Tamandua tetradactyla: one gene and its partners. The protein of the gene in region 1 purifies or fractionates together with the protein of each later gene. This does not show direct contact. Links are inferred from orthologs where the notes say so. Each region holds a gene or a part of one and is shown in the gene's direction. Other genes may lie near its edges.

Region 1 (7,370 bases):
TAAGAAAGAACCTCAGTGGAAAGTTAGCTGCCTTTCCTCTGAAGAACCAACAAAATAAATCCCCTTTTATTAAAAGCCAATCCATCTCTGGTGTGTTGCATTCCAGCAGCTAGCAAACTAGAACACCCAGTAAGATTTTCTGCATGCCACTTCTGGAGAAGACATAAAAAGTGACATTCAATAAAGGAAGTGAGCTTTCTGCCACACAAAATACCTGTCTAAAGGGAATAAAGAATGACAAAGGAAGAGGGCAATTATGGGGGGCAGGAAGGAGGTTAGGTGTAGACCCCTGACACCAAAAGTCTACATCCACCACCCCCATCCTACAACCCGTGGTACCTAAGAAAGAGAAAGTCACACTCTCTGCCGAAGGTGAACATCTTTCCAAAAAGGTTCCTCTTGGACCTTTTGAAGCATCCTATGGCTCCTGCCCTTCGAGAAGACTGGAATGAGCTAAGCAGTATGGAGAGCCCATATATACATGCATGCACACAATGCCCATACAAATCCTTTCCTGGCTTTGCTTATGCTTTTTTTCCACCTAGTACTCTTCCTCACCTTTCCCTCTGGTCTTCTCTGAAAGCCCTGCCCACATAATATCTTTTCTAGGACACTCATATCATCTAGTCAAAATCAACTCATACCTTATGTTCTAGTTTGCTAGCTGCCAGATTGCAATATACCAGGAATGGAATGGCTTTTAAAAAGGGGAATTTAATCAGATGCTAGTTTACAGTTCTAAGGCTGAGAAAATGTTCCAATTAAAGCAAGTCTATAGAAATGTCCAATCTCAGGCTCCAGGGAAAGATACCTTGGTTCAAGAAGGCCGATGATATTCAGGGCTTCTTTCTCAAGTGGAAAGCACATGGCGAACACAGTCATAGTTTCTCTCTCAGCTGTTAGGCACATGGTGAGAAAGGCATCATCTGCTAGCTTTCTCTCCTGGCTTCCTGTTTCATGAAGCTCCCTGGGAGGCGTTTTCCCTCTTCATCTCCAAAGGTCGCTGGCTTGTGGGCTCTCTGCTTCTCGTGGCTATGTCATTCTACTCTGCCCTCTCTGAATCTCTCTCTCATTCTCCAAAATGTTTCCTCTTTTATAGGACTCCAGAAACTAATCAAGACCCACCCAAATGGTTGGAGACATGCCCCTACCTAATCCAGTTTAACAACCACTCTTGATTAAATTACATCTCCAGGGAGATGATCTAATTACAGTTTCAAACATGCAATACTGAATAGGGATTATAAGAAACAGTTGCCTTTACGAAATGGGATTAGGATTAAAACATGGCTTTTCTAGGGTACATACGTCATTTCAAACCACCACACTTTATCAGTACTCCCAGATTTCTGTCTTGATGTGTGAACTCCTCATGAGTTCTTTGTCATGTCTGGGTCCATCACATTTTTTGGTAGATGTATCTGGACAAATCTTTCAATTCAGCTCTTTTGGCAGCCACTACTGGGCACTACAGTTGACACACATGTGGATAATAGTGTTCATATACACCAATCTTGAGGTGAGTGCAGTTTGAATCCTGGCTGTGCCACTGACAAGTTGTGTAGTCTTTGGAAAGTTAGTTAACCTTTCTGAGTCTCAGTTTCTTCATTTTTAAATTGGAGAATTCTAGTAATTCCTATGTTACAGGGTGGTTGTGAGGGTCAAATGAAAGAATGAATACCAAACATTTAGAAAGGGCTGGGCACTCATTACAAGTTAGCTGTTGTTATTTGTAAGCCATTTGTCAACCCTAGTAAATACTAAGAGGCATGATGTGGGGAAATCCTGCCCCAAATCCCTAGTGGTCCCTCGCATGTGTCCAGAGCCCTTCAGGAGATCCAGCCTGGGTGGAGGCCCCAGGGTAAAGCTAGATTCATATTTGATTGAATACCTAGGACTGGGACTCAGGTGGCCATTTTAGAAATCTGTCTTCCAGAGAATAGCTACAATTCTATGAAAAGTTAGCCCTCAGCATCTTTCACCCTTCATCTTCAGGGGTATTGAGAAACTATTGCCTCAGATTTCCCAGCCTCTTCACAGGAAACTGGCTTCCAAAAGCCCAATATGTTTTTATATGAGACATCTTATCAAATCAGAAGTGTTATTCTCTGTCCCAGGGAAACCATACTTCTGGGAAATTTCTATGGGAATTATATAGAAATCAAATCCTAAATTTTCAACAGTAAGAATCCTGTATTTGTTAGCTATTCATGATGAATTTTCTTTTCACCTGATTTTCTGTCTTTGGGGGATTAATAATCTGTCTGGGAAGATGGACAGGTAAATAATTCAATGGGCCACGTGCTATAATAGAGCCATATATGACTGTACACTTGGAGTTGAAGACACCTTTCACTGTAGGGTACACCAGCAAATAAAAACAGCTTTTGGAGCCATTAAGAAATATCCTATCATTCATATGTATATATATATATATATATATATATATATATATATATATATATATACACACACACACACTAAAAACTTGATTGATAATAACATACATCTTCCCGGGGATTACTTATCAACCTCTTCTCTAAATCAAAGTTGGAGCCAAGCTTTTTTGAAGAGCCCAACTCTATTGTACCTAGTTAGTCATTCCTGTCATCAATTCTAGCTCTGAAATTTCTCTGACCTTTTCTGAGAAATTAGTTAAGTTTACATATGTGCAAGCAATGACAATTATGTTACAATATACTTCTCTACCTGGTATCTGTCTTTTAGTAAATACTATTTTGATTTCAAAAGCATTAAAATGTGAAAATCTTGGACTTATTTTTGAAGACATATGGTTTTTAAACTGCTTCTGGGTGACAAATGTGGAAATGATTAATTTTGCTTGAGGGAGGAGGTGACATTTAAGTTAAGTCTGGAAAATTGAGTATGTGTTCCAAGGCAGGTAAAAGTCTATCAAGTATTCCAGGTAAAGGGAAATCTCTATCATGATGCTTATCTCAAGTTATCCTGTTAATTGTTTTACTCCCACTAGCATTTAAGCGCCTCAAGGTCATGAACCATTTTTACTCAGAATGACTATTTAGCTCATTGTTTCACCATGTATTTATTTTATATTTACTAATTTTATTCATATTTATACTTGCTGATAAAATAGTATCTCTAATAGCTCATTGTAGAAAACTTGGGAAACACAGAGAAGCAGACAAACAAAACCTCTCATACAATTCTACTGTAATTCTGCTACCTGGAGAAATAACTGTTAAACATTTTGGTGTATATGATTCATGGCTTTTTAAAATTCATATGCATCTCTTTCTTTTTCTTTTTTTGCAAATGCAATTTCAGTGAGATATATTCACACACCGTATATTCCATCCTAAGTACTTTCTATTTTTTTCAAGCAAAAATGGTATCTTATATTGTGAGCTATTGATTGTACACCATGTATGAAATACTTGTATGTTAAGAATGTTCCTGTTTGTACTTTGTTTGGATTTGTCAATAAAAATAATAAAAGAAAAAGAAATGGTATCATACTATGTTTATTGGTTCATAATTTTGGTTTTTTTTTTTTTTTCACTTAACCATCATCTTAGAAATATGATCATTGTTTGCCTACCGGACCATCCCATTGAAGGCAATAATGTCCAGCCCCTAGGTTTTATTCCTCAGTTGGCCATACCTCCTGGCCGCAGTGGACTGAAGTAAAAGATCAGCCAACATCTGAACCAAAGACAACCCGTCAATGGATGGCCAGAGACTTAGCTATGGGGTAAAAAGATGACTGGGTCCAATCATATGCCACTCTGTGGACTATGGAATTGGAAAATCAAGGTGCTCCTCAGCCAGAGCTGTGGAGGAGCCGGAGAAATGAGAACGGAGAAGGCTGGTTCCCACAACGAGGAGGGTGGAACAGACCTGCAGAGAGGCAGAGATGCCCAGAGGAATAGAGCCATCCTTTCAAGCTTCCATCAGACCTGTTTTTGCAATTCCGGCCCATATATATCTTTATAATGGATGCCTCCCTTTCCTTTTTTCTTGAAAAAAAGTAAGATGTAAAGGAGCTTGCTTGGCTCAGCAGGCAGGGAAAGGGAGGTGGCCCACGGTTTTGATTTCAAACCGCCGACTCTGCGGCCCTTCCCTTAGAATTGCAGATAGGGCGGTGGCTCCGCTGGCGGGTCTCGGAGGCCCGGGGCGGCCCCAGTCGGTGCAAACCCGGCGGGCGGACTCCGCCTCCTTCCGGCCGCTGCTGCGGAGGCGCGGGGCGTGGGGGAGGGGGCCCGCACCCAGGGGGCGGGATGGGGCGGGGCCTGCGGCTCGGTCCCGCCCCCTTCCGCCCGCTCCCGCCGGCGCGGCAGGGCGGGGCCCCCAGGGTGGGGCCTGGGGGCGGGGCCTCCGGCGCCTCCGCGCGCGCAGTTGGCAGGAGCTGCAGCCCCCGCCGCGCGTCCTGGGTCTCTCCGCTTCCTCAGCAGAGACCCGGCTCGGCCGCCATGTCCGCCGCGGACGAGGTCGACGGCCTGGGCGTGGCCCGGCCGCACTATGGCTGTGAGTGCGGGGTTCCGCGGGGGCTCCGGGGCCAGGCCCGCTGCCTCTGCGGCGCCGTTTCCCGGCCTGGGGCGGTGGGGCAGGGCGTGCGGGCCGCGTGGACCCGGAAGGGCCGCCGGCTGGGCCGCAGGAAGCGCGGGTGGCGGGACGAGTCCCTGCGCCCTGCTCGGCTCCGAGCGGCGGGCGGACCCGGAGGGCCCCTGGGAGCCCGGGCGCTGCGACCCCGGAGCCCCACCCAGCGCCCGCCGCCCGCTCGGCCCCGGAGAGACGGCCGGGGGGGACGGCAGGACGGCACAGGGCGTGTCCTGGGCACCGAGCCCGGGCCTTACCGCGTCTTCGGGAGCCCTTCCCCGTCCTCGTGGGCCCTGCCCTGTCCTCGGGGTCCCTGTCCCGTCCTCGGGGTCCCTGCCCCGTCCTCGTGGGCCCTGCCCTATCCTCGGGGTCCCTGCCCCGTCCTCGGAGCCCTGCTCCGTCCTCGGGGTCCCTGCCCTGTCCTCGGGGGCCCTGCCCCATCCTCGGGGTCCCTGCTCCGTCCTCGTGGGCCCTGCCCCGTCCTCGGGGTCCCTGCCCCGTCCTCGGGGGCCCTGCCCCATCCTCGGGGTCCCTGCCCCGTCCTCGTGGGCCCTGCCCTATCCTCGGGGTCCCTGCCCCGTCCTCGGAGCCCTGCTCCGTCCTCGGGGTCCCTGCCCCGTCCTCGAGGGTCCCTGTCCCGTCCTCGGGGTCCCTGCTCCGTCCTCGTGGGCCCTGCCCCATCCTCGAGGGTCCCTGTCCCGCCCTCGGGGTCCCTGCCCTGTCCTCGGGGGCCCTGCCCCATCCTCGGGGTCCCTGCCCTGTCCTCGTGGGCCCTGCCCTATCCTCGGGGTCCCTGCTCCGTCCTCGGGGTCCCTGCCCTGTCCTCGGGGGCCCTGCCCCATCCTCGGGGTCCCTGCTCCGTCCTCGTGGGCCCTGCCCCGTCCTCAAGGGTCCCTGTCCCGTCCTCGGGGTCCCTGCCCTGTCCTAGGGGTCCCTGGGTCTGGGGGCCCTGTCCTGTCTTCGTGGCCTCTGTCCCGTCCTCGGGGGTCCTGTGCGCTCCCAGGCCAGTGGGGAGGTGCGGCCTTGGGCGAGTCACTTCAGCTTTCTAGGGTTTAGTTCCCTCTTCAGGATTTGAAAAGTAGAAAAAGAAAATCCACCCTTGGACTTCCTCATTCTTGGAACCTCCTTTTCTGTGGGTCCATGAGACATTATTAAACTGCAGGGGCTGGTACCACGGCCACAGGGGGTCCTTTTGAGTCTTTGGCGGTTTCATGTGTATTTATATTTGGGAATAAAATTTTGTTTTTAAGATAATTTTGCTCTTAAACAGTTATGTGTGAGGGATTGTGCCACATCTGGGAAATTGAATATGGGCAAGATTAGGTCCTGCCTTCAAAGAACATTTAAAATTAGAGACAAAGAGGTCTGCAACCTAATGATAATAAGGTGTGGTAAAGATAAAGTACGTGTGACCTGACTGGTCATAAGCAGTAAACAGTGAGTGAAGAGGAGGGTTTGAAGAAGGCAGTGTGAGCACAGGTGTTGACACTTGAGCAGCGACGTCCAGGAGGATGTGTAAAGTTTGACAGGGTGGGGTGGGGCAAGACACATGAAGAGGGAAGAGCACGAAGGAAGGTCATAAAGAGGAGGGCACTGTGCACAGTGGTGGGGAAAGGGCAGGGAGAGGGAAGAGATGTGTTTCTCTTGTTGGGGCTAGTTGTTGGGGCTAGATTGAGAAATCTAGCTCTGCCAAGGAGTTAGGGTGCTCTGGGTGTCCGTGAAGGAGGCACATTGCTTCCAGGGTAAGCTCACAGGCTTTGGAGGCAGACTGCCTGCGTTAGCTGTGGGGCTGAGCTCACCCAGCCTCACTTTCCTCATCTGTAGAATGGGAGTGATAATCACAGGGTTGTTGTGTGGTTTCAATGAGAGGATGCATGTAAAACGCTTAGAACAATTACTGCCACTTTGTTCTCAGTAACCGCTGGCTTTGGTTGTTCGTGAAATAGGGGAACAACAGGGTCAGATCTGTATTTAGAAAGAGTTCTGGCAGACAGACAAGGACAAATTTAGGCCCAAATCTCAAGAAACAGTATTTTTCTAGGTCACGTTAAAATTGAGTACGTGCTCATATTGTACCTAGAAGAGAGTGTAAGATTAGTGTAGTTGAAACCCCTCAATTCTTGTTTCAGGAAAGCCACTGTAGTGCACCTGGCGATACATGCAGCCCATGGTTACCTTGAACCTCTAGTGACTCACAGGAATTTGATGCTTTGGCATTCTTTTATCGATCAGGAAGGTTACAGAGCCCCACGTTTACGTTCTTCTTTTTCATGTTTCAGCTGTCCTGGATAATGAGAGACTTACTGCAGAGGAGATGGATGAAAGGAGACGTCAGAATGTGGCTTATGAGTACCTTTGTCATTTGGAAGAAGCAAAGAGGTAAGGATTGGCTGGCTGGAGAGACGATTGGGAGAAGGAAACTGATGTGATATGGATACAGATAAAGATCTCTGAATGTGTTGTAGGTGTGACTGAGGCTGATAGTCTAAGGAATAAATATAGGCATGTTATTTACTCATGGGAGCGACTGGTCTTGATGGCAGCTTATTATGAAACACTGGTGGACATTTATGTATACTGAAGAATTTTCAGATTTTTGCTGTTCAGTTTAATATTTATGGTGCATGTTTTGGACATGATCAGCTGTAGGAAAGAAATAGCATTTTTAGAATTTGAAGTTCTTGGCTTTTTTAATGTCTCGTTATCACTGGTTTTGGTTTATGTATGAGTTGATTCCTTTCTCCCCATGGCAGTGGAGGGGTATGTGGTTTAGGAGGCTTAGGAGTAGGGAG
Region 2 (7,849 bases), on another chromosome or scaffold:
ACGTTAATAGTTTGATTTGTTCCTTTTCAGACAGACCTTTTTTTTTCGGGTAACAAAAGTACTGTTCCACATATAAACACACATACTCAGAGTTAGTGGTTTGTGCTTTAAAAAAAAAAAAAATACAAGTAAGATCATTCTATCCATGTTGCTCTAGAACTCACGCCTGACTTTTTTTTTCCCTAACAAACAGTTCCTCTTTCCATCAATATATGTAGATCTGCTTCATTATTTTATCAGCTATGTAATATTCCATAGTGTGGATATAGTTTAATTTAACCAGTTAGCATGGATGGATAGATTATTTTCCATTTTATCATTACCCAAAAATGCGGCAAACAACCCCTTACACATATACCTGCTTGTTTGAGTAACTCAGTGGGTTAAATTTCTCTGCTGAGAATTGTCACTGCTAGTTCAATTTTAGTGCTGTGCTCACTAAAATTTTTTATATTTGCAGCCAAATTGCCTTCCAGAAAATCTGCAGCAATTTATGTTCTTGCCAGCATTTTACTCACTCCTTCCAAGTCACTGCCCATATGCCCTTTGTTCTCTTAAGTTTTTCAGAGTGATAATGGTGTTGTGGTTATGTTTTTTAATGAAGCCTTTATCTTTCTGAGATACAAGCTAAAATATAGATGCAGTGAATTGTGGATAAAAATAAAAGTATAGAATTCTTTTAAAAAAAAATCCCAACCTATTCTGAAAAACAAAGGAAAAAGATAAAAGAATCCAGAAGTACAGAAACAGATGTACCTATCAGAGAACAGGTTTCCTTACGTGACTGAGAGATAACCATAACAGTGGCAGAGCTTTGAGCTGGCCCTGTTGGAGAATCTAACAAGCTTTTCAGTTTCTTCCAGAATCTACTTCTCTGTCTTAGAGTTCAGGCCTCCAGAGCTCTCCTCTGGGCCTGGGCTTACCGCTCTGACCCTTGGAACTCCTACAGCACCCCACCTGAGTACTCCTTTATCCCATTCCTAGAGGAAGCATCTAGACATCCGGCCCCAGGCCTTCCCTTTTTGACCTATCATGTCTTTTTCAGCTTCTCCAGGTCACTGCGACTTGACTTCTGGAAATTGGTTTTCACTGTTTGGTTTGGTTTGGTAAAGTCTGTTATTACAGCTGGTTCTTCCTTTTGACAAAATTTGACTTTTTCATTTATAGTTCTGACTGGCATCTGAACCTAGTATCTGCATTTTACTGTCCACTGCAGAAGCCTCGGGCTACTTCCTTAGCCCTAACACACTGTTGGACCACTTACTCAGTTCCTGTTCTTCTTTGAGAGATGCCTTTCGCTCCAGTAATAATAATGAGTTACCATTTTTTTGTGGGTTTGTTAAGCAACAGACTCAATGCTAAGTGCATTATAAACAACATACATATCTTTGGGTCATCATCCTATCATCATCAGACAGCCCTAAGAGGTGATTATTATTCTCAATTGCCAGAGGACGAATCCAAGGCTCAGAGAGATTAAGTAACTTTCCTTAGATCACACAATATTGGGCCCAATATTGTTTTCATAGTCATTCTGTCACTACAGATTTATAACATCATGTCATTCCACTGCTTAAAACCTTCCTTTTCATTGCACCTAGAAGAAAATCCAAATTTCTGACCATGGCTTAATAAGGCCCTGCACACTGGCTCTTACCTATATCCCTCATCTCATCTCTAACTACTCCCTTCCATGCAAACTATTCCTAGCCATACTCGCCTTCTTGCTCTTACTGGAATACATAAGTCTACCACATGACCTCTGTACTTGATTTTCTTACAGCTTGGAATAGTCTTCCTGAGATCTTTGCTTGGCCAGCTCCTTCTCAGACTTCAGGTCTTAAATTCCTACAAAAATTTCCCTAATCATCTTGTCTGAAATTTACCCTTTTCCTCCCATCACATTCAGTCATGTCACTATTTCATTTTATTCATAGCACTTTCCACCATCTGAAATAATCGTGTTTTTTTATTCTTTGAGGGGAGGAGGAGGGGTGCCTGGTCTGGGAATCGTACCCATGTCTCCCGCATGGAAGGCAAACATTCTCCCACTGAACCACCCATGAACCCTGCTTTTATATTTTTTAGGTTATTGTCAGTTTCATTGTGTAAGCCCTTAGAAGGTAGAAACATTATCTGGCTTCTTTACTGTATTGCTGAAGTCTGTGACAGTGCTTTAGCAATACAGTCCCTCAGTAAATGTTTATTGAATACATAAATGGATGAATGATAGCAATCTTTCTCTATCAGTAGGAGGAAAGGAGTGGTTCCCTGACAGAGGGGGTCTGAGAAGTAGTTCCAGAGAGGGGAACTTGGAGACTGGAGTCCTGATCTCCTTCCCGTTGCTTTGCAGGCCAGAGGCACCCAATGAGTTCTATGATGGAGACCACGACAATGACAAGGAAAGTGACGTGGAGATTTAAGAGTGGCTTGGGGATGCTATGTCCCAAGGACTTCCTTTTCACCTCTTGATTGGGCAGGAGGGAGAAGACGTGACTTCTCTATTCCTGGATATATCACAACCAGGGAAGGGTTCGGAGACCACATCTGGTTCTAGAACCAACTTCCCCTTTTCCTCTGCCTCCCCAGGCCTGACAGTGGTACCTGTTGGGAGGGGAAGGAAGCAAAGACAGCTGTCTCTGGGTTACCTTGGGCAGTGGGCCCTAGGAGCCAGACCCCAGCCCCTCTACCTCCCTTATTCCTTCCATGCTTCCCTCCAACCCAGAGACTTCAGCCTAAAAGGGTAGGCAGGACTGAGGTTGCCTCTGATTCCTTCATGCCTGGGTGTTCTGCTGTAGGCTGTGCTTCCAGGACAGGTGAAATATGAGAGGTTTCAGGGGCCTCTGACTCACTAAAACCTTAATCTCAGATAATCTGACGTATGGTTTTGAGTCAGGGGAAGATGTGAAAATGTCATGTTCTAACTTTTTTTGGCTTCATGTCCATTTTACCACTGTTTTTATCCAATAAATCAAGTTGGTATTTTTTGTACCTTTTGCCTTTCTGGGAGTGTTCTTAATTCCTGTTAGTGTTATCTGCCCATGTGTGAAGGGAAGAAGAAAAGGGGTAATCATGCTTATAATAAGAATCATCATTAACATTCATTCAGCACATTATTTTATGTTAGGACCTATTATATATTCTATATGGATTATTTTACTTCAACTCAGGGAGTTAAGCATTCTGGTTGAGTTAAACAAACCTGGATAGATTACTAGTTTAAGAGAAGAAATAGAAGACAACTTCAGGGTTTTGAACCTGGGTTTTGGAATAACAATGCTAGTTGCTGACTATAAATTACAATAAAACATGTCAAGTGCTTAGCACCGTGCCTGACAAAAGTAGTTATTAGTCTCATTATCTTATCTTTGTGTAAGGAACAAAGCTAGCTACCATAGTAGCCACAAAACATGGACCCTTCTCTGGAGTGGTTCACAATCCAGTAAGGGAAAGAGTTACAAGTTCACATGGATTGTAATAAATGTTATAGTACATACAGACAGTGGTACAAGAAAGAGGAGTAGTAGATGAGCCACTCTTTCCATCCTTTGATCCTATTTGTTTCTCAGCACTCCAGCTTAGTAAGCAGTTTTTGAACTCTTGAAAAAGTTGAGTTTGAAGTGTGGGTTGGACAGCTTGATACAACTTTCTTTCAGGCAATTAGAGGGTCTGGAGCACCAGAGAAATGAATACCAGATTAGGAGCTAGCCAGTTTGACACAGTCTCTGCAATATACCAGCTCTTGGACAGGGGTACCAGAGTGAGTACGCTGACCTTCAGGAATGCACACTTGAAATCTTTTGTCACCAGTGATCAAGGCAATTCATGCTGTGGGGTCATACTGAATATCTACTTTTCATACAAGGGACAGGTGCCAAGGGAGAACGTCACACTAGAAGAGCAAAGAACATGCTCTTGGAGAACATCCCTTCTTTTCACTCATGTTCAGTTTATGTCAGTGGAGAGTCCTGCTTAAAAACAGGGCTTGCCAGTCAGACTAACCAGTGTTTCTTTTTTTTTTTTTTCTTTTCTATCAAATTTGTGTTCTTAGGCAAGTCACTTCAACTCTCACAACCCTAATATCCTATCTGTAAAATTGGAAGACTAGTAGAATCTATCATGTGGTCTAATGAGTGAGATGATACATGTGTGCTTTGCACAGTGCCTAGCACAGAGCAAATGCTCAGTAAATGGAACTATTAATACTGTCTAGGCCAATGTTTGGAGTAACTAGTTTGTCCAAATTAGAACTACAACTAGAAAGTAGCTGACCTGAGATTCGAAACTAGGCACTCTAACTGCGGAGCTAGTCTGGTTCAGGGTTTAGCATGGACCATGCTCTATTCTTGGTATTTAGCTGTCAATAAATGGCAGCTGTCACTTTCAATGTAATCTACGTGTATTTCACATGTAAGAACTGCACTATCCCGGAAAATCCGGCACTAAATTTTCTGTCAGGGTAACGGTACCTCTGATTCGAATTTTGGCTCAGATTATAATATCCCGGTCTGAGTGAGAGTAGGTTCAGGTTTGACAGACACGTGGAAGCTGAGTGGGAACAAGGAGACCTGGTCTTCGCCGCTCGTACAGCCAGGGAGCGCTGTTGCCAGTCGCGGCCTAATCGAGCTGTACCGCCCACTCGTCATCCCCCACGTGGGCCGAATGGTTAGGTCCGCGGGCAGGTAGTGTGCTTCCGCGACTCCCCTCCACCCCTTTTCCTTCCCCCATTGGTAGGGGCTGCGCGTCCGGGCGGAAGTGGGGCAGGCGGGCGGGAGCGAGGCGTCACCGTTGTATATTCATGAGGCGCGCGCAGCCCGGCATGCTAATGAGGCGGGGCGCGGCGGCTGGCTAAGGAGCTGCTAGGCGGGCGGTGGCGGCGGCGGCGGGCGCGGTGCGACCCGTCGGGAGCGACGTAGGCGCGGGGGTCGCCAGCCAGCGCGAACCGGGGCATGGAGCCGCCGGGTGGGGGCCTGGGGCCCGGCCGCGGGACCCGGGATAAGAAGAAGGGCAAGAGCCCGGACGAGTTGCCTGTGGCGGGCGGCGACGGCGGCAAATCCAAGAAATTTGTGAGTGTCCCTCCCACCTGGTTTCCTCTGCCCGTCCCCACAACCGGCTCGGGACCCGGGAAACCCCAGCAGCCGGGCCTAGGGGCTCCCGCCTATCTCTCGGGAGCCGCCCCCGCGCCTACCTTCCTTGACTAGCTGGGTCCTTGGCTCCTCAGCCCGACATCCTCCTCCTCTTCCCGGACCTCGGGAAGCCCCGGAGTCTCACCCGGTTCTTGCCCCGGTAGCCGCGGGGCTTCTTTCACTCTCCAGCCGGCAAGCTCTGCCCTCCGTCCTCACAGCCCCGGCCAGCTCTCTGCCCGGTCTCTCTCCTCCCAGCCCCACTTCCTTTCTTTCTCTGTTACCCGCTCACGGCTTCTCTATCTTGATCTCCTATGCTTTCCTGGGTCCATTTACCTCCCCCCCTCTTTTTTTTTGTAATCTCTTATTTCCTTATCCAAAAGGTCACTTCCTTCCCCATGATTGATCCTTTTCACCTGCTAACTTTCCTCCCTGCCCCGTCCCCACTCTGGGCCCTCAGCCCGGTGTCGCTTGATAATCCTTCCGCTCAGGAATGTTACCTGATTTGGACCATGTGATACAGGAATAGGTTCCTGCTTAGGTCCTCTGGTCATTCGGCCTTGGACGTTAATTATTTGCTTCCCAATATTTCTCTTTCCAAAAAACCTGTTTCTTTGCCCTGTTGCTTAACACTTTTCAGGGGTTTAGAACTTCTCCCAGGATTATGCCCTTCTCCACCTAGGATGGGAATAAACCTCCCCCATGGGGAGGAAGTTAGTAAGTTCAAGAAGTTTGTGAGTAATTGAATTTTTTTATACATTTTCCGTGATAACCATCTCCTCAACTCCTCTTCTGCCACCTCCTGTGCCTCAAAGCTGCTCACTTCCCTTTTCCTACCTGTCGAAGAGTATGGATTTCCTCAGGTGCCAGTTACTTCCAACCTTAGTCTGGAGAAATAATTGCTATTCATGTAATCCTACCGTATTTCATTACCTTTTGCCCACACTAAATCTTTTTTTCCTTACTCCTCTCTGCAGGGAGCTACTTGTCTACTTTTTATCATAAAAACAGAAAGATTTGGGGCACTGTCCAAGAGAGGGAAAAGTCTTTGATCTTAATAATCGCTTGTTAGTTGTAACTGTGTTTTAGTCTTTCCCTCTAGATGGTACAGCGTCTCCCTCCCCTTCTACTGACCAAATGGTTTATAGCTCTTCTTTCTGTTTTCTCTTGTCCCCAGCATTCTGACCCAACTCCACAAGTTTGGGAAATAGTGGTGGAAACAGGAAGAAAATATTGTGAGGTTGAGATGTGGAGAGTACTAGTACAAAATAAAACAGTGACTCATCTCTTTTCTACCTGTTTCTAAGACCAGGTGCTCCTGGACTCTCCTTTCCAGTGATTTACAGGCTGTCGGTAACTGCCTGTTTTTATCTGGTGAATATCTTTTTGTCTATAAGTGTAGGATTAACAGGAGTGTCGTCCCCCTCTCCCCCAAACCTTTGATGATTAAAGCAGCATTTTCCTATGTTTCTTTAGGCTAAGAATTGACCCTCTGGTTTGAAAGTTTCCCTTCTAAGACTTAAGTTCTAGGGCCCATACTCCTTCTGGTTTCTGTATCTTTTTGTTTTGATTTTGTTTCCATGGGTATTGTTTGACCTTCCTAACCTGAATTCCCACTGCTGATTTATAATAACTTTTGTGACTTGTAAATATTTTTTCAAATCTTAGTGGAATTTTCTGTGTGTTTTTGTTTTATCTAATATGGGTGTGTTTCGTGAATTTGTGAATCATTCATGTGTGATGCTGTAAGGTGAGAGCACCTGTTTTGGGAATGTCACTGAGTCTTCTTTGCTGAATGAATTTGTCTCAGAATAGTTGGTATTTGCTTTAGAGAGGGTGGAGCCGAACCAAGTTCTCTTTTTCTTTCTGAGGTGTTGGTCTTAACCCTTAACCAGTTGAAGTTTTAAAAATATGTAGTATAGGCAGTGAAGAGATTTGCTTTAGTAGCTAGGGGATTGGAAGGTTCCCAGGAAAGTAGTGCAGCTTAACTCCTTTATTGCCAGGTATGACCTGCCTCAAGTCATCAGAATATTCTGTTTGAATTCTGTGGAAATGGAAGACTAGGCACATTGCAATGCACTTCTCTCTGTGTCAGTGTGTGTGTGTAAGTGTGGGCGGGCGGTGTGGGCAGGATTGCTGCAGTGCTTTTGTTACCCATGGCTTGGTTTTCTTAAACTGCAGGTTAAAACGGAACTCAAAGCTGTTTCGCCTACTCCACGTTTTCTAGAGTGTGTGGCCTCTGGAACACCATTAAGAGTGTTTTTATAAAACTGCGCTGGTCTGGACAAAGTGTGCCTGGAGGTTGTTTGCATCTGAGGGGTAATATTAATCCCTTTAGCTGCTACATACCTTTCTGGGTTTATAGAGGTTCTGTGTACAGATCATCGAATGAGAAAACAGAGCTCTTACCCTCTGAGGCAATCTTGTGTGGAAAGGAGATAGAGAGTCTTAAATTTAAAAAGTGTTTGGACACCGTCTTTTAAAATATATGATTATTAGAGAGATGTTGACATGAGTGGCTGAAGCCAGGCGACCTGGTACTCCCCCTTGGTTTTTCATGTGTCTGTCTTCTCCCAGGCCCTGTGCATTTCCCTTCTCCAGGATCATTCCAGTTGTGTTTGGAAGTCCTTAAGATGAAGGAAATAAGAGAACTATAATTAAATGGAATGTGGAGTGTTTTCTGGACTCAACAGCAGTGGTAAATGTGGGTGTCAAATATACTGATT
Region 3 (7,402 bases), on another chromosome or scaffold:
ATATTCCATTGTACGCATATACCTCATCTTGTCTGTCCATTCATCTGTTTATGGACACTTGGGTTATTTCCATCTTTTGGCAATTGTGAAAAATGCTGAATGAAACTGATGTACAAATATTTTCTGAGTCCCTATTTCGGTTCTCTAGGGTATATACCTAGAAGTAGGATTGCCGGAACATATGGTAATTCTGTTTAACTTTCTGAGAGTTCACTAAATTGTTTTCAATAGAGGCTGTACCATTTTATATTCCCACCAACAAGGTATTTGTTGCATCCTCACCAACACTTATTTTCCGTTCTTAAAAAAATAATGTTCTGGGTGGGCCACGGTGGCTCAGCAGGTAAGAGTGCTTGCCTGCCATGCCCGAGAACCCGGGTTCGGTTCCCGGTGCCTGCCTATGTAAAAAAAAATAATTAAAAAAAATAATGTTCATCCTAGTGGGTGTGAAGTGCTATTTCACTGTAGTTTTGATTTGCATTTCTGTTATGACTAATAATAATATTGAACATATTTTCACATGCTTATTGGCCATTTGTATATTTTCTTTGGAGAAATGTCTATGCAAATCCTTGGCCTATTTCTTAATTGGGTTGTTTGTCTTTTTTATGTTTCTCTTCCTCTTGTGGTATAAGGATGTGATATCTGGAACTGTTACAGCCAAGCCATATCCGGCTCCAGGAGGGGAGCCAAGAAAGAAGCAGCTAACCTGAAGGAGGACATTAGCAAGAATATTAAAGAGAACGGATCCCTTTATTATGTCATGATCTGTGGATCAAACTGAACAAAAAGCCCACCCATCTCTTGATTTTTCATGAGCCAATAAATACCCTTTATCATTGAGCCAATTTGTTAATTTCTTTCTACCTGCAATTGGAAGAACCCTTAACAGGCTTTCTCCACAAATCGAATGGCCTTCATTTCCACTGCCCTTTCAACCACCCACTCCAATGGCCACCCATCCTAGGTCTAGTCTTCCTCTGCATCCCTTGTAGTGTTAATCTCAAATGCACTATTTTCTCCAACTACAACTCTTGAGCTCTCCAACTATCTCATTTCTTCAATCTCACTGAGACTCCTTCCCCTTAATGTCTTTCCATATTCTCTCAATCCAATAGCACCCTCCTCTATATTCATTCTTTCTTTATTTGGCCCGGACTAAATTTGTGGATTTACCTCCACAAATCTCCAACTCATTATAATATTCCGTCTGTCTTTCCCTGGCTCAATCATCCAGGTGACTACTTCTGGAAGAAGGAAATCACTACCTTTTGTATTGGCTCCATCACAAATTCATGATCTATCATTGCACCCAGCCTCCGTGTTGCTCAGCAAGTCCATGTGCCACACGCACAGAAGATAATTAGTAAATGCTTTTCAAATGAGTATTTTTGAATGGGTATCCAGTAAGCTATTCACAGTACCTGCTTCAAACCTTCCTTACTTTCTCAAGCCACCTCCTCCTATTTCCTCTCTTAGCAAATCAAACAACCTAACCTTCTACTTCAGGGTGAAAGTTAGAGTCCAAAACACAGGGAATTCTCTCACCTTAATCCCACCTATCTCCCTATTGACTTACTAGTATTGGTGCTCATCCTTGAGTCTTCTCATTTACCCAGATATCCACTTATTCTATGAATATGAGTGCTGAGAACATCCCAGGTACTGTGCTCTGCTTGGCCTTGGGAATACACCTGGAGACTAGGTGAAGGGCATAAACGACAAATGCCAACAGCCTGAGTAAAAAGGACATAGGATGCCTTTGAAGATATGAAAGCTAATAGGTGTGGCTGGTACTGATGGCTAATGATATCGAACATCTTTTCATGTGCTTACTGGCCATTCGTATATCTTCTTTGGAGAAATGTTTATTCAAGTCCTTTGCCCCTATTTTTATTGTGTCTGTCTTCATTGTTGAGTTGGGGTTCTTTATATATTCAGGCTATTAAACCCTTATTAGATATATGATTTACAAATATTTTTTCCTGTTCTATGGTTTGCCTTTTCACTCTCTTGATAGTGTCCTTTGACGCACAAGTTTTAAATTCTGATGAAGTTCAATTTACTTATTTTTTTCTTTTTTTATCTGTGTCCTCCAGGTTTTTCATGTATTACTTTCCTTTCAAGAGATGCCCTTTCACATGACTCCCACAGACTTCAGGGACGTGCCTGAAACTGTAGAGCTGTGTTTCAGTAGCCTTGATTCTTAAAGACAATTCTATAAGTATATAGCTTTTACACTGTGACTATGTGATTGTGAAAACCTTGTGTCTGATGCCCCTTTTTTCCAGGGTATGAACAAATGAGTAAAAAAATAAGGAAACATAAATAAACAAATAATAAGGGGGGGATAAGAGGTAAAAATAAAATTGGGTAGATTGAAATATTAGTGGTCACTGTGGGGGGTAAGGGGCATGGGATGTATGAGTTTTTTCTTTTTCTTTTTTTTTCTGGAGTGATGCAAATGTTCTAAAAATGATCATGGTGATGAATATACTATGTGATGATACTGTGAGCCATTGAGTGTATACTGTAGATGGACTGTACATATGTGAAAATTTCTCAATAAAAATATTTAAAAAGAAAGAGGTGCCCTTGCTAATTATGTTGAGATTAATATCACAATAAATATGCAACCACTAATCACCTGTAGGTGGGGAGGGAGGAGAGGAGAAAGAATAGGCATTTGTCACAGATAACCCACATGATGATGTCTAAATCACCTGTATCCAGTTAAAACTGTGTTCAGTCCAGTTTTGTTATTCATGTACAGGAAATGAAGACTAGTCCTCCAACCTGTTTGTGGGAAGGGTTTGCATCTTTTCTCCTTACACTACTTCTCAATAAGGCAGCCAGAAACACAAATAATTCAGCTGATGGCATAACCCCTCATTTTGCAAAGTGCCAAGTGTGGGCTACAGCTAGGAGAAAGGAGAAGAAAAAAATCAGATAAACCACATCTTCAAAATCAACTTCTCTGTGTGTTGCAAAAAAAAACGTGTAACGTGGCCCTTCCCCAAACAGTCTAGTAACTAAACAATTGTGAGAAACGTATTCTTTCATCCTATTTCTTCAAACCTACTAATCATGCATGGATATACAATGGGGGAAGATACTACCTACTTTTTATCTTGGCAAGATTAAATGAAATTTATTTTACCTAGACAAACACTGTGCCAAACCTGTTCTATTTTACAAATATTAGCATAACCCGATCATCTTAATAACCCAATGAGATTTCATTGTCCTCACTTTATAGATGGAGAAGTTGAGATACAGAGAGATAACCTGCCTGAGGTTATTAGCATGTGGCAAAAGGAAGATTTAAAAAAAAAAAAAAGAGGATTCAAATCTGAGCAGGCTGGCCTGAGTACTCATACTTTTAGCTTTTCTTATGCTGTGTCTCTGCGATAATTCAGTAGCTAAATGCGGTACCTGGTCTATGAAGGCCTGGAGGAACAGAATGGCTGCTAACATCACCATCATCATTGCTATTTCTGTTAATACAATCTACAATCCATTTTCTTTCCAAGAAGCTTTCCCCAACCATTGACCACAGAACGTCATTTAGAGCTCATAAAGTTCATCTGTGCCTCACACAACTAACTCCCTGCCTCCCATGGGATTCCTGAAATCCTTCAGTGACTGAAAAGGGAGCCCGACCGGGAAGGTTCTCTCCCTCACCCAGTACAGAGGCAGAGGAGACCCTCGATACATGACAAGCGGGAATGGGTGAAAATGTCTGGGGAGAATGAGTGAAGTCCAATGCTAGGCAGAGGTGTCACAGAATGAGGGGTGGAGAGCACAGCTGCACCCCAAAGAAGCGTCCGAAGAGCGGGAAAGTGGCACAGATGTGGCCGCAGGAAGAAGCTTCGACCTGGAAGAGACTGGACAACCTCTGAAGCAGGTGTTCGGGCTTAATTCCAAATTTTAAAGAACGATCAGCTTTTTAAAAAATAATACAACTTTGGAAACTACTGCTCAAAGTCACACAGCAACTCAGTGACCTCTGTTCTATCTCTACCAAACTACTAGTGGAAGACGAGACCGCAGCCACTCTCCCCGGGCCAGTAAGTGCTTCCTGTTATCTGACCTCCATCCCGCCTGCTGCAGCTTCACCATCTCGCCTGGTTCTGGGTCCTTCTCGCATCAGCAGCCCTGAAAAATATCCTCGCCCTCACTAAACGAGAAACTCACTAGAACCAAGGGGGCTATCCTGAGGGACCTCGCAGGATTTTAGGGAGAGGGGTGAAGTTCTTAATTGCTCACTGCCTTAAAGTTCCGGAATAAAAAGCGCGCTCGAAAAGCTCTGAGTCACCAACTGCCTTCAAAGGCCGGAAGCCACCGCCCCGCATCCGCTTCCACTTGGAGAGCCGCGTTTCCCCGAGCGGCGGACGCCCGCGGACTACAGCTCCCGGCATGCCCCGAGGCGGCCGGAATTAACCCTTCAGGGACCTGGCCGCGTTGCGCGCCGCCCCGTCCCCGCCCCCGTCCCTTCCTCGGACCCCGCTGGGTGAGTTTGCGCGGGCTGGGGCGGGGTCCCTTCCTTTATTTCAGACTTAGGGATGTGTGTGTACTCTCTAGAAGGAATGAGGCCTAATTTTCCTAAAATGGGACCACTTGCGGTTGCGAGCTTCAGAAGCTTTTTTTTTTTAACCACCCAGCATCAATTCTCTGAACCCCAGGGCCTAAATGGAATCACTGCTCTCTTTCCCTGAATGCTTCCTAAATCCTCCCATCCTTCCCCCAGGTCAAAAGTAGCCAGCAACCTGTCCCATCTACCAAACATCCCCAACTCCCACCCTTCCCCAGCGCCCCCAGCAAGGCTTGTGACCTGGCACCTGACTCAGGGCTTTTATTTCCCATCTGGTTGCGGGGTGAGTACTCTCTCTGGGAGCCCATAGAATTACTCCCCCACATCCTTTTGGATTAGAGAAGGTCATTGCCACCCAGAGCCAGCTCCCCACCCCCAGGTGCCACCACGGTCTCAGTGGGGTCGGCTCGCACCCCATAGGTTGCCCGACTTGAATGACCGTAGGCTTGTGAAAAAGGGTTCCTTCCTTGGCAGTAGCAGTGGCAAGTACCTGATCCTTGTCCCTACCTCCACCTCTAAAACAGTACTGGAAAGAGGAGACAAAGGCGGGGAAGAGATGCCGCACTCTCCTTACTGTTACCACTGTTTATATTGTGTACAGCTCCAGTTCTGGGCTAGGCGGTGGCCGGGGACTACAGGTGCTGGATGTTAGGCTGTGGGATCAGCTACATCCCCCCTCCCCCATGGTCAGAGGCGGGTGAAAGGATTGCTTGTTTTTTTTTTTCACTTTTCTCTGCCCCAGCCCCTATGTTAATTTACCCCAATTCACAATGCCCCCTGCCCTGCCTCAGCCTTCAAGAGTCTAAAGCTGCTACTCAAATAGTCAGGGGCCTAGGGGCCTGTAATGCCTGGATCCCCTTCTTTGGTACTGGCATGTATCCTGTCCTCACCCCGGAGGTTAACTCCCCTATCCTGGACAGTCTCTGGCTTCCTTTCCCTGCCCCCAAAGGGGACATTGTTTCAGCCAGTGTTTGGGGGGGGCGGGGGCAGTGGGCAGAGCCAGGAAGACCTTGGGGCAGGAGTCATGAACCTTAGCAGGCCAAGGGAGTGAGGGCAGACAGGCATATCTCTCCTCTACCTCACCCTGGCCACGGCCAACTGGCTCCCTGCCACTGCCCACCCCCCCCTTTGACATCCCAGACTCCCTGGCTATTTAAACAGAGATGGATGCCCCCATTGACACACTGTCCTTTGGCCACCGGACATCATGCCTCCCAAGAAGGATGTTCCCGTGAAGAAGCCACTGGGGCCCTCTTTCTCCAAACCTGCTGCCAAGCCAACAGCAGCCCCTCCAGCCAAGCCCGCAGCAGCAGCCCCTCCAGCCAAGCCCACAGCTGAGCCAGCTGTTCCCACTGCCCCTAAAAAACCCGAGGAGCCCCCCATCGACCTCTCCAAAGTGGTGGTGAGTCCTCAAAAAATGAGGATAGAATTTGGAGGGGGTGGTAAGAGGGTGGGATACAACCTAGGGGATTAGGGGGTATGTGGAAAGTACAAAATCAATGAGCACTGAGATGAGATTGGGGGTCCCCTTGGTCCCCTATTTGGAAGCATCCAGGCTCGTGTCTCTGCTTTTGTGTTTGCTGTTCTAATTTATAACAAGTGTGAATGTTTGTGTACATGTTGCATGCATGTGTGCATACACACATTCACTGATCCTCTGCTGGAGATGGGGACTTTTAGGATGGGAACATCTGGGTTCTAAGAATAGTCTCAAGGTGAAGGGAGATTGCTGCTGCTTGTCCCTGGCTTGCAGTTCAACTCAAAAGGCCATAGCTTTGAACCCTTGGAGGAGAGGCTGAAGAGGACAGGCTTGTTAGACAATCACAGCTGGGGGCAGGGGGTAAATTTAGCCTTTGTTCAGCCCCCAGTTATGTGAGGGATGCAGGGCTCAGGGCAGTGGAGGGAGGGGAACAGGTGGCATGGGATTAAGCCTGCTCCCAGGAAACCCTCCCCCCATAATTCCTCCTCTTGGGATTCTCCCAAGGCCCAGAGCCGGGAATGGGACTGAGGTAGTTGGGCTTCAAGCCTGTTCCCTTTGGGCCCCTCCCCAGAAGTGGCTGCCAGTTGGTTGGGAGGAGTGTTGGAGAGGGATTTATTAAACCCTGTCATCCCTCCTCACCTGCTCTTTTCTTCCACAGATCGAGTTTAACAAGGATCAGCTGGAGGGTGAGGAAAAACTGCCCCCTTAGCCCACTGTCTAGCCCCAAGCCCCTGCTGAGATACTCTCTCTATTCTCTTAACTCCAGTCCCGACCTTGAAGCCTCCCACACTAGTCGTCTTTGTGTCCCTTGTTCTGCCCAGCTCTAGCTCATAATTTCAGAACCTTCTTCGTGTCTGGTGATGGTAACTCCTGGTCAACACTGATCCTTCTCTATAACCTCAGAGTTCAAGGAGGCCTTTGAGCTGTTCGACCGAGTAGGGGATGGCAAGATCCAGTTCAGCCAGTGTGGCGATGTGATGAGGGCCCTAGGCCAGAACCCCACTAACGCCGAGGTGCTCAGGGTCCTGGGAAACCCCAAAAGTGATGGTGAGGGGATGCTTTGAACATTGTGGGGTTTTAAGTCGATGGTGGAAACCAGGAATGTTGATAATATGGCTGAGGATGCTGGGTGGGTCTCAGAACTTCAAACACAGGGGAAGAAAAACATCCTGAAATGTTAAACAGGGTGGAGAGGATCAAAGCCTTCCTGGTAGGGATGGGAGCTGGATCCCGATGACACCACAGTGACCTCTCTCTTACCTCGCCAGAGTTGAGGTCCCGGCGTGTGGACTTCGAGACTTTCCTACCCATGCTCCAGGCGGTGGCCA

The links. The genes of interacting proteins can lie anywhere in the genome.
Region 2: the proteins of IQGAP1 (region 1) and protein diaphanous homolog 1-like purify together in Homo sapiens (affinity purification with western blotting; 3 studies listed by BioGRID and IntAct, with this or other methods). This does not show direct contact. The link is inferred for Tamandua tetradactyla from reciprocal best matches to the Homo sapiens genes IQGAP1 and DIAPH1.
Region 3: the proteins of IQGAP1 (region 1) and MYL6B purify together in Homo sapiens (affinity purification with mass spectrometry; 3 studies listed by BioGRID and IntAct, with this or other methods). This does not show direct contact. The link is inferred for Tamandua tetradactyla from reciprocal best matches to the Homo sapiens genes IQGAP1 and MYL6B.

The regions. Positions count from the first base shown.
Region 1 is NC_135338.1:98,911,176-98,918,545, reverse strand, and holds the start of IQGAP1 (ras GTPase-activating-like protein IQGAP1), read left to right. Parts: upstream 1-4,359; 5' UTR 4,360-4,451; coding exon 4,452-4,506; intron 4,507-6,857; coding exon 6,858-6,957; intron 6,958-7,370. UniProt on the Homo sapiens protein: Plays a crucial role in regulating the dynamics and assembly of the actin cytoskeleton.
Region 2 is NC_135346.1:21,752,681-21,760,529, reverse strand, and holds the start of protein diaphanous homolog 1-like, read left to right. Parts: upstream 1-4,830; 5' UTR 4,831-4,949; coding exon 4,950-5,066; intron 5,067-7,849. Other genes in the region: HDAC3 (histone deacetylase 3), read left to right, coding at 2,354-2,423. UniProt on the Homo sapiens protein: Actin nucleation and elongation factor required for the assembly of F-actin structures, such as actin cables and stress fibers. Binds to the barbed end of the actin filament and slows down actin polymerization and depolymerization.
Region 3 is NC_135333.1:123,210,816-123,218,217, forward strand, and holds the start of MYL6B (myosin light chain 6B), read left to right. Parts: upstream 1-4,383; 5' UTR 4,384-4,513; intron 4,514-4,750; exon of another isoform or gene 4,751-4,877; intron 4,878-5,755; 5' UTR 5,756-5,801; coding exon 5,802-5,996; intron 5,997-6,732; coding exon 6,733-6,760; intron 6,761-6,977; coding exon 6,978-7,121; intron 7,122-7,342; coding exon 7,343-7,402. UniProt on the Homo sapiens protein: Regulatory light chain of myosin. Does not bind calcium.